Linked DNA regions of Nothobranchius furzeri. The protein of the gene in region 1 purifies or fractionates together with the protein of each later gene. This does not show direct contact. Links are inferred from orthologs where the notes say so. Each region holds a gene or a part of one and is shown in the gene's direction. Other genes may lie near its edges.

The links.
Region 2: the proteins of ptpn1 (region 1) and abcd3a purify together in Homo sapiens (affinity purification with mass spectrometry; 3 studies listed by BioGRID and IntAct, with this or other methods). This does not show direct contact. The link is inferred for Nothobranchius furzeri from reciprocal best matches to the Homo sapiens genes PTPN1 and ABCD3.

Annotation. Positions count from the first base shown.
Region 1 is NC_091755.1:52,049,017-52,053,330, forward strand, and holds the start of ptpn1 (tyrosine-protein phosphatase non-receptor type 1), read left to right. Parts: upstream 1-1,231; 5' UTR 1,232-1,447; coding exon 1,448-1,504; intron 1,505-2,019; coding exon 2,020-2,110; intron 2,111-2,651; coding exon 2,652-2,752; intron 2,753-3,241; coding exon 3,242-3,340; intron 3,341-3,438; coding exon 3,439-3,576; intron 3,577-4,139; coding exon 4,140-4,314. UniProt on the Homo sapiens protein: Tyrosine-protein phosphatase which acts as a regulator of endoplasmic reticulum unfolded protein response. Mediates dephosphorylation of EIF2AK3/PERK; inactivating the protein kinase activity of EIF2AK3/PERK.
Region 2 is NC_091747.1:36,306,873-36,311,359, reverse strand, and holds the start of abcd3a (ATP-binding cassette sub-family D member 3a), read left to right. Parts: upstream 1-1,502; 5' UTR 1,503-1,586; coding exon 1,587-1,696; intron 1,697-3,090; coding exon 3,091-3,124; intron 3,125-3,207; coding exon 3,208-3,306; intron 3,307-3,411; coding exon 3,412-3,500; intron 3,501-4,487. UniProt on the Homo sapiens protein: Broad substrate specificity ATP-dependent transporter of the ATP-binding cassette (ABC) family that catalyzes the transport of long-chain fatty acids (LCFA)-CoA, dicarboxylic acids-CoA, long-branched-chain fatty acids-CoA and bile acids from the cytosol to the peroxisome lumen for beta-oxydation.

The DNA of each region.
Region 1 (4,314 bases):
TGATGATAGTACATAATGTTGTTACCTGATGTTGTTACAAGATGTTGTATAATGTTGTTACTTAATGTCACCTGATGTTACCTGATGCTGGTACCTGATGATGTTACATGATGTTACGTGATGTTATTTGATGTTGTTACCTGATGATGTTACATTATGTTGTTACCTGATGTTGTTACTTGATGTTGTTACATGATGATGTTACATTATGTTGTTACCTGATGTTGTTACTTGATATTGTTACATGATGATGTTACCTGATGTTGTTACCAGATGTTGTTACATGATGATGTTACATTATGTTGTTACCAGATGTTGTTACATGATGTTATTATTTGATGTTGTTACTTAATGTTGTTACCTGATGTTGTTACCCGATGTTGTTACCGGATGTTGTTATATGGTGTAGTTACTTGATGTTGTTACTTGATGTTATTACCTGATGTTGTTACTCGATGTTGTTACCTGATGCAAAAACAAGGTAAAATAACACTTGCTGTGTTAAAAAGAACAGTAATGCAGTAGAAATGCAGAACAATTTAATAAAACAATGTCAAATGTTATGACATGTTACTCATTTCTATGCACAGTGTAGAAGTAAAATGCTATTTGTGACCAAAGTGCCATTTAAAAAGATGAACTCAAATGTCAACTCACTTGTGCAGTGGAAATATGAACTAGACAAAGACATGGACAGATATGTTTGCCACATCTGAAGGGGATAACCTAATATAAATTAATGGAAAGCTGACATAATTTGCTTCAAAAGTTTGTTTTCCCTGACAAAGTCTCAGTTATGGAAAACTTGAGACACAATTTTAATATTGTGACAGTTTTGGTTATCATTGGTTTTGATTTTATAATTCAGATTGTCATTTTGACAGAAATATTTACACTGACGTTCAAATTACTTTTTAAATGTAATTATATTAAATGTTAAAACAGCTTGCCAAATTCACCGGCAGCCGGGGCGATGACGTACACAGTGCGTGAGTGTGCGTGCGCGCTCCCCAAAGAGCGAGACGCGTTTTTTTCCCAGAAATATGATGCCTCCCGCGCGTCCTCGCCTGTTGGTCGCTGCTGTTTCAGAAATGGTGAGATGACGATTCTGTGTCAACAGACTTACTTTCCAGACTTGAAGAAGTGCTGTGAATCCTACACAGATATCTCACAGCAGCAAATTAAAACAAAACAAAACACATTGTGCTCTTTTTAGCCACCCAAGGACGACAGCTACACCGTGTAGGAGGAGCTAGCGGCGTGTTTCCGTTAAGAGTAGGCCGAGATGGCGATCTAAGCAGCCGCACTGAATGCGAGCTAACAGCGGCCGAAGATTGGGCAGCTACTACCGGAAACCGATTCACTACTAATTCTTTAATTACCGGGAAGCTGTGGTTCTTCGTTTTGGGCTGGGCGTAAAGAAAGAGTGGCAGCTGAACTGGAAGCAATGGAAGCCGAGTTCTTGGAAATCGATGAGAACGAGAGGTGGAGCGCCATTTACCAGGTAGGAACTATCGGCTGATCATCAAGGTGGAGACACGAACCGTAGGTGAAGCTGTCATTTTAGGCCTGCTCACAACGAGTCAGCAGATATATAAGGTATTAATAATAATCAATGTTTTTATTAGTCACCGGGACTTTTCTGGGTGTGTACAGCCTTGTTCTGATGTGTCTGTCCGGGTATAATACCTGCAACACTCGCTAGGACCCAGGAGTGGCCCGGATCTGTTCTGACTTTAATAAACCTTTATCAAGTGTCCATTAAAACGTTAATCACGTTTTAAAATGCTGTTTAATCACTACTCATGAGTAACTACTTTATTATGATAATTTTAAGTGTGTGTACATGTTTACCTGCATTAACAGTGTTAATAGTGTGATGTCTAGACTCTTTTTTTCTTCTGTTTTTCTAAAGAATTAAATTTAGGAAGTAAGGCCTACATGCACTCAGATCCACTTTCACAGTGTGTGAAACCTAAATCTGCTAAAATTTATTTGGTAAATTTTATTTTGTCTCAGGAGATTCGCCAGCAGTCCAGCGAGTGCGCATGCAATGATGCCAAACTGCCTGAAAACAAGACTCGAAACCGTTACAGGGATGTCAGCCCATGTGAGTTACACTTTGATCATCAGCAGACTCGTTTGTTGTTTTCTCTCGGTTATTATAACCATTCTTAAATTCAGGTAGATTGTGTATTTCCTATCATACCCATATAATAATTCAAAGGTGACAGATTGTAAATTGTTAGGATTGTCTCTTTGAAACTAATTTCTAAATTTTAAATAAGAAAACAACAGTAATTATACAAGTTAGAAAATGTAAAAATAGTTACTATCCACAGAACTAAATCCATCACAGTCCAGCAGCTGAGCTTTGCTGGTTTCCTCTTTTTCACACTGAATAAGCTATGCAAATTGTGCAGCTTGGGTTGCAAATACTTAGTTTTTATTATTCACATCTAACAAGATGTGAAAATGAGGAACCTGAAACTTTTGCCCACATTTACATCTCATATGAAGGATAGGTGGTTACCTCTGTTGTTAGTTTGCTCAATGACTCTTTTCTCATCAGTGTTGCGATGGTAGGGCTGTTCCTCCCCTTCTAAACAACAACAAGACATTTTTATCTGTCTTTTGTCCCCGCTCCTCAGTTGACCACAGCAGAATACACCTGCAGCTGGGTTCCAACGACTACATCAATGCCAGCCTGATAACTGTTGAAGAGGCTCAGAGAAATTATATTCTTACTCAGGTAAGCATCCTGAAGATTCACTGTCCTCTGTATGATTTTACATACAGACACACATCTACTGTATGTAACACGTCTTGGAGTTATGATGTCAACAAATGATTTGGAAAATGGAAGAATACCACAGTGAGAGCATATCCATGGGATTGATCAGTGAGGGAAAAACAGCAAATAGAAAAGCAAGAATATTAAGAGGAGTATATATCAGGCTTTCTATTTGAAAATGGTGGAAATGGGCCATCACTGCTTGTAGTTAAAATGCTGGATGTGGACTAAACTGTCACAACTGCACGTGTCACAAAATCAGAGGCAGTGGCTCGGGTCCAGCTGGAGCCGTGGTTCTGTATGTCTGTATCACAGTACGCTGGTAAAAACCTGGAGATTAGAACGTGGCTGGATCTGTTATTTATTCATCCCGTGCTAATATTGTTATCTAGTGATGCGAAGAAGAAAGTGTGATGTCTTTAAAGGAGTGGTTTATTCCCTGTTTAGGGACCCCTGCCGAGTACGTGTGGCCATTTCTGGGAGATGGTCTGGGAGCAGAGGACCCACGGTGTGGTGATGCTAAACCGGGTCATAGAGAAAGGATCTGTAAGCAGTCGTCTGTCCTTACCGAGACCTTTTAATGTGTCCATTACTCAGGAGTCACGCTACTCTTTTGTTTTCACATGACCTTTGTTTGGTTTTAGATTAAATGTGCTCAATACTGGCCGCAAAGAGAGGAGAAGGACGCCATCTTTGAAGACACCAACTTCAAGGTGACTCTCGTCTCGGAGGACATCAAATCTTACTACACAGTCCGACAGCTGGAGCTGGAAAACCTGTTGGTAAGTCCTCTCTGTTGAGCTGTCTGCCTGAGATAAGAGGTTATTTGACGCTGAGAGCCCGTGGGTCCTGAACACCTTCTGCCACTCGTGATTTAGTCATGAAGACAGAGAAAATATACACGGTGTCTTGTGCTTTAGAGCAAATTAGGAAGGATAAAAGCTAAAGAAGAATTTAACTATTACATCCACAATTTTTACAGAGCTAAATAGTTGTAACTCGTATTTTCAGTTTGGCAGGAATGTCAGGAGCTGGTCCTACGTCTCATCACTTCCTGGTTTTGATCTATAATTTTGCTGCTGAAGTTTGTGGAGCATGAACTGATTTGTTGACAGCACTGGACCTTTCTGAAAATCTGTGTTTAGTTGGGCTTTTCTAGCTGCTGAGGGGATTTGATGCTAACCTATAAAAGGAAGTTTTTTTCCCTAGTTTTTGCTTTAATGCTGATCTGAGCTGAAACATCAAGTGGAAGTTATTTTCATCTCGACTTGGCTTTGGTTTCCATCTGTGGTGCTGTGTTTGACGTGTGACGGTTTTATTTCTAACCCCAACCCTTTCCCTACAGACTCACGAGACGCGTGAGATTTTACATTTTCACTACACCACCTGGCCTGATTTCGGGGTACCAGAGTCTCCCGCCTCCTTCCTCAACTTTCTGTTCAAGGTGCGAGAGTCAGGCTGTCTGAACTCAGAGCATGGACCTGTGGTGGTCCACTGCAGCGCTGGTATCGGACGCTCTG
Region 2 (4,487 bases), on another chromosome or scaffold:
AAAAGATTTGCATTACAGCAGAATTAAATAAAAGGTCGAAGCCATAAAAAAATTAAATCGGAGAGGGGCATAATATGTATGAAGGAAACAAAGGTTTGAGTAAAAGCATATTTAAATACAAGGGTCTTCAACTGCTTTTAAACCCTTCCACTGTCCTATCAGGTGACCCCTCCAGGACAGGGGGTGGTTAAAGATGGTTGATAGTTTATCCCTTGGCAAGGGTGAAGTGGCGCTCTCCTAAAAAATATAGAAAATAAAAAAGCACCTGAAGCCCATCTGACATCATTAACAATGTGGGGGTGGGGTGGGTTAAAGGTGTCCAGACTGTCAATACATTGTAAGGAAGTTCATTCCAAAGTTGGGGTGAAATATCCTGAAAAGAGCATTCACTTTGACTTTTTTTTTTTATCAGTCTTTGGAACTTCTAGAAGGTTCTGGTTTTTGGACCTGAGGGTTTGGTTGGAGCATAAGGCTTTAGCAGTTGAGTTGGGAGAAGCTTGACCACGTAGAGCCCTGAAAGTTATAGTCAGGATTCTCAAATTAATTTTAAAGTTAATGGGTAACCAGTACAGAGACATCAGAATAGGAGTGATGTCAATTCAATTCAGTTTATTTATAAAGCACCAAATCACGACAAGAGTTGTCTCAAGGCACTTCACACAGTAAATAATTCGATACAGTTCAGTTCATTAAGCCAATTAGTAAAAAGTTTCCTATAAAAGGAACCCAGGTTGCATCGAGTCACTGACTAGTGTCAGAGTCAGAGCAATCATCATACTAAGCAAGCATGCAGCAACAGTGGAGAGAAAAACTCACTTTCGCATCATGGGTCCCTGGAAGAACGAAAAAATGAATACAAGTGAACGGGGCTAAAAACGCTATTTTTCTAATCCACTTTGCCTTACGCCCTGATCACAATGTTGTACTGCAATTTAAATGAAAAGTAATGATGGGTGTTTTGACCATGCCAGTCACGTACTTTGAGATTTGTTAGCTTGTAAAAGTTTGTAATTAGCATGACTACAAACTAGAAATCGGCACGTGGCATATAATCTCTTCTCCCCTAGCGTAGCTGCTATTTACCAAATGACCAGATTTACGGTGGTTCTTTCCTCCTGTGGGAAGTTTGCTGAACTTACAGCCTTTTCTCCGTGTCTGGTTCCATGACGTCACTTTCATGAAACACAATTGTAATCCTGGACTTATTTTTGCACAAAACCTAAAATATTGTTGTTGTTTTTTGTACATTGTATAAAAATATCTTGGGAGCCAAAAGAGTGGTCTGTTTGTAGGCCGAGCCAAATAACACAGAGCTAGAAATCTCATCACCAGCGACGGGGGCTGGCTGCACGTGAAAGGTGACTGCTCAATAACTTTTTCTACAGTCGCTGGTAACAAGTGTAGCCTACTTTTCGTGTGAGACTCGCACATTTTTGTCACACCTGGCGTTCCATAGAATAGTTGTTCCCATGTCTGTGGTTTCTACAGCGTCTGCGCGGACGCTCGTCTGAGCATGCGCAGCTCACATAAGGAAATGAGTGTCAGTGGTCTGTGAATCGAAGTAAACTGACCGTTGAGCCAGAAACATGGCGGCTTTCAGTAAATATGTAACAGCTAAAAACTCCTGTGTAGCTGGAGGAATTCTGTTTGTCATTTACTTGTTGAAGCAACGAAGCCGGACGCCTAAACAGTACAGGTGAGTGTTTATTGGAGCCGGGCCCGACAGGTGACCCGCTGGCAGACGTCATGGATCAGTTAGAGCTTTTACTCAATTACCTGATCGGTTATGTTGACAGTCAGTCACCATCTTTATGTCATTGACTCATACCGGCAGCTTTAATCGCTAAATCATTTGTGTGAGTGGAGCTAAACCTTCAGGGGTTTTAAAGTCCCTTCATGTCGGGTCTCAGCTGTTAGACTTCGCTAAGAACTGAGCTGTTTCCTCTAAAAGCAATACAACCAGATGTTCATTAGTCTTCCACTGGTGTTATATTGAGATGTGTGCACCGTCAGAAACGGTCCCGCCTGCCAGCCCGGCTGATGTCCGTCACAGAAGAATAAAGTTGTCAGGAGGTGAGTGACCCCGTTCAGTGGGTCAGCAGCGTGTCTCACCGTGCAGCTGAGCGCTTAACAGTGACTTTGTTGCTCTTGTTCAGTTTCCAGGATGACAAAATGGAGATAAAATGAGCCAACGCTTTTATTTTTACAAGTTTCTTAAACCAGCGTTAGGGGTAAGGTGGAGGAGCCAAGGACACCACAGACATGCCTTTGGGGACACATCTGGGTGTAACTGGCTGCTGCCCGAGGACCTTTAGGTTTCCACTGAGGTGCCTGTTCAAAACTCACCATTTCACAACAACCAGCTCACTACTGCTGCTTTATGTGTAGACAAAGGTAAAGTGTGTGTGTTCGTTCTTCTGGAGCACACCTCCATTCACACACACATTTACCACCTTAGCTGGATTTTTTCTTTGCGCTGCGTGCAACTCTGTTGATGCTCAGGTAAAGGCAGGCCTACGGTTACGGGGTCATGACCTTTAGCAGGATACTGAAAGGTCACCACGTCAAGGCACCTGGGGGAAAATTTTTAACTAGAAAATAACCCCTCATGCACGCTGCGTGTGTGTGTTGTGTTTGTCATGTCCATGCTGACCCACACACAGGTCCAGGTCAGATAAACCTGCTTGGCTGTTCCAGACTGCACATACTTGTTTTTAGTTCAGGTGGAGCTGTGTGGATCATGGGGACTAGAACACAAACCAGTGATCAAATTTGTGGTTCTGGTCTGGAAGAGGACCAGCAGCAGTGGCTGCTGGGTTTCTGGAGGCACTAATGGGTCAGTGGCGAACATCTCAGGTTGTCAAATCTCAAGAACTGAGAATTTTCTTCACCCCTTAGGCTGCATTATTTAAAAAACGGCTTTTTCCCACACAGACCTGGTTGTGGAGTTAATTTGCTCAGACTTTTGCTCTACCAAACATGGTTATTGTGGAGAATGTAACAGGCTTAAACCGGGTCATGCTGTGTAAGCAAACCTTTACCAGCTCTAATCTTCTATTCAGGCCAACTCTCTGTATTTTTTTCTTTCAGTGCAAAAGGATCTTCACAGCTTTTAAACACAGAGGTGAGTTCAGCCCGTTTGAACTTAACTGTTTCTACTAAATCAGTCTGAACCCACTAAAGAGGACTTGCTTCTGTCTTCTGTAGAAAGATGTCAAAAAAGACAAGACAGCAGTGGACAAGGTTTTCTTCCTGCGCATTCTCCGGATCCTGAACATCATGGTCCCGAGGGTGTTCTGCATGGAGGTGAGTTTATGTGCCAATTGGACCTTAGAGCAAAGGTCACCATCAGTCAGGTGTCTTATCAGAGTGGTTGGAGCAATGCAGTGTGATAATCTGTTCTATCTTCAGACAGCCTACTTGATCCTCATTGCCTCCATGTTGGTGGCCAGGACCTACTGTGATGTGTGGATGATCCAGAATGGCACCATGATTGAAAGGTCAGGAGTTAAAGTTGTTAATAAGTGCGCACACACACAGCAGACTCACCGCTCAGCAGAATGAGCAAACTGCAGCAGGCTGGGGGGTTTTCTCTCCACCTTGATCACTAGAAGAAAAAGCGGAGAACGTTTTTTTTTTTAAGGAGGCGTGCGGCTCAGAGCCGGGTTGTTTCTTATCAGATCGCGAGTGGCCGAGCCAGCTGCAGGTGCGGCCGAGACTCGGCTGCGGTCTAGTGTAGTGCGGCCTGTGGGTGCAGGTCAGGTGTTTGCACCCTGCAGCTCTTAGCCCTCAACTGTGACTGACTAAACCAACGTAGAGCAGTTTTAACCTGAAGAGGGAGAAATAATTACAGTTTTGGACTGAATTTTCAAATGTTAAATAAGATGCACTAAAATGCTAAAGTAATGGCTACACACCTCTACAGCACTGTTAGACGCTTATCTATGCAGGTTATCGGCAAAAAAACGGATCTAGGTTTACTCATTCTTAAATGCTGCAGGACTCTGGAAACCCATTATTAAACAGGACATGAACCATTCTCTCCAACAAATAAGATCACTTCCACTCTAGAAGTAGAAGAAAAGTTAGAAGTAAAACTTTAGATTCAGTTCTGGATCTTACAGATTAAGTGAAAGCTGAACCTGGTTTAAGTACACTAGCATGCTCTTGTGTACTTGAGGTGTAGGTTCTTGGCAAGTACAGCAGAAAGTCCGTTCTACAGAGTACGGGAGGTCGAGGACGGCATTTGGAAAGAACCATACATCGTCATGGCAACAATCGCTGCTCGTTGTTACGGCAAAAAAAATGACCTGACATAAATTAAGTCTAATTTGTTCCTTAAATAACAGTAAATTCATATTACTTGTAAAATATTTGGTCCACTTTTGATCAAAATTAATAAAATACCAGAATTTTTTGCTGTTACATGAAGACAAAAATTTCTTCATCACAACTGAGCTATTTAAGGCAAGGCCGCTTTTATTTTG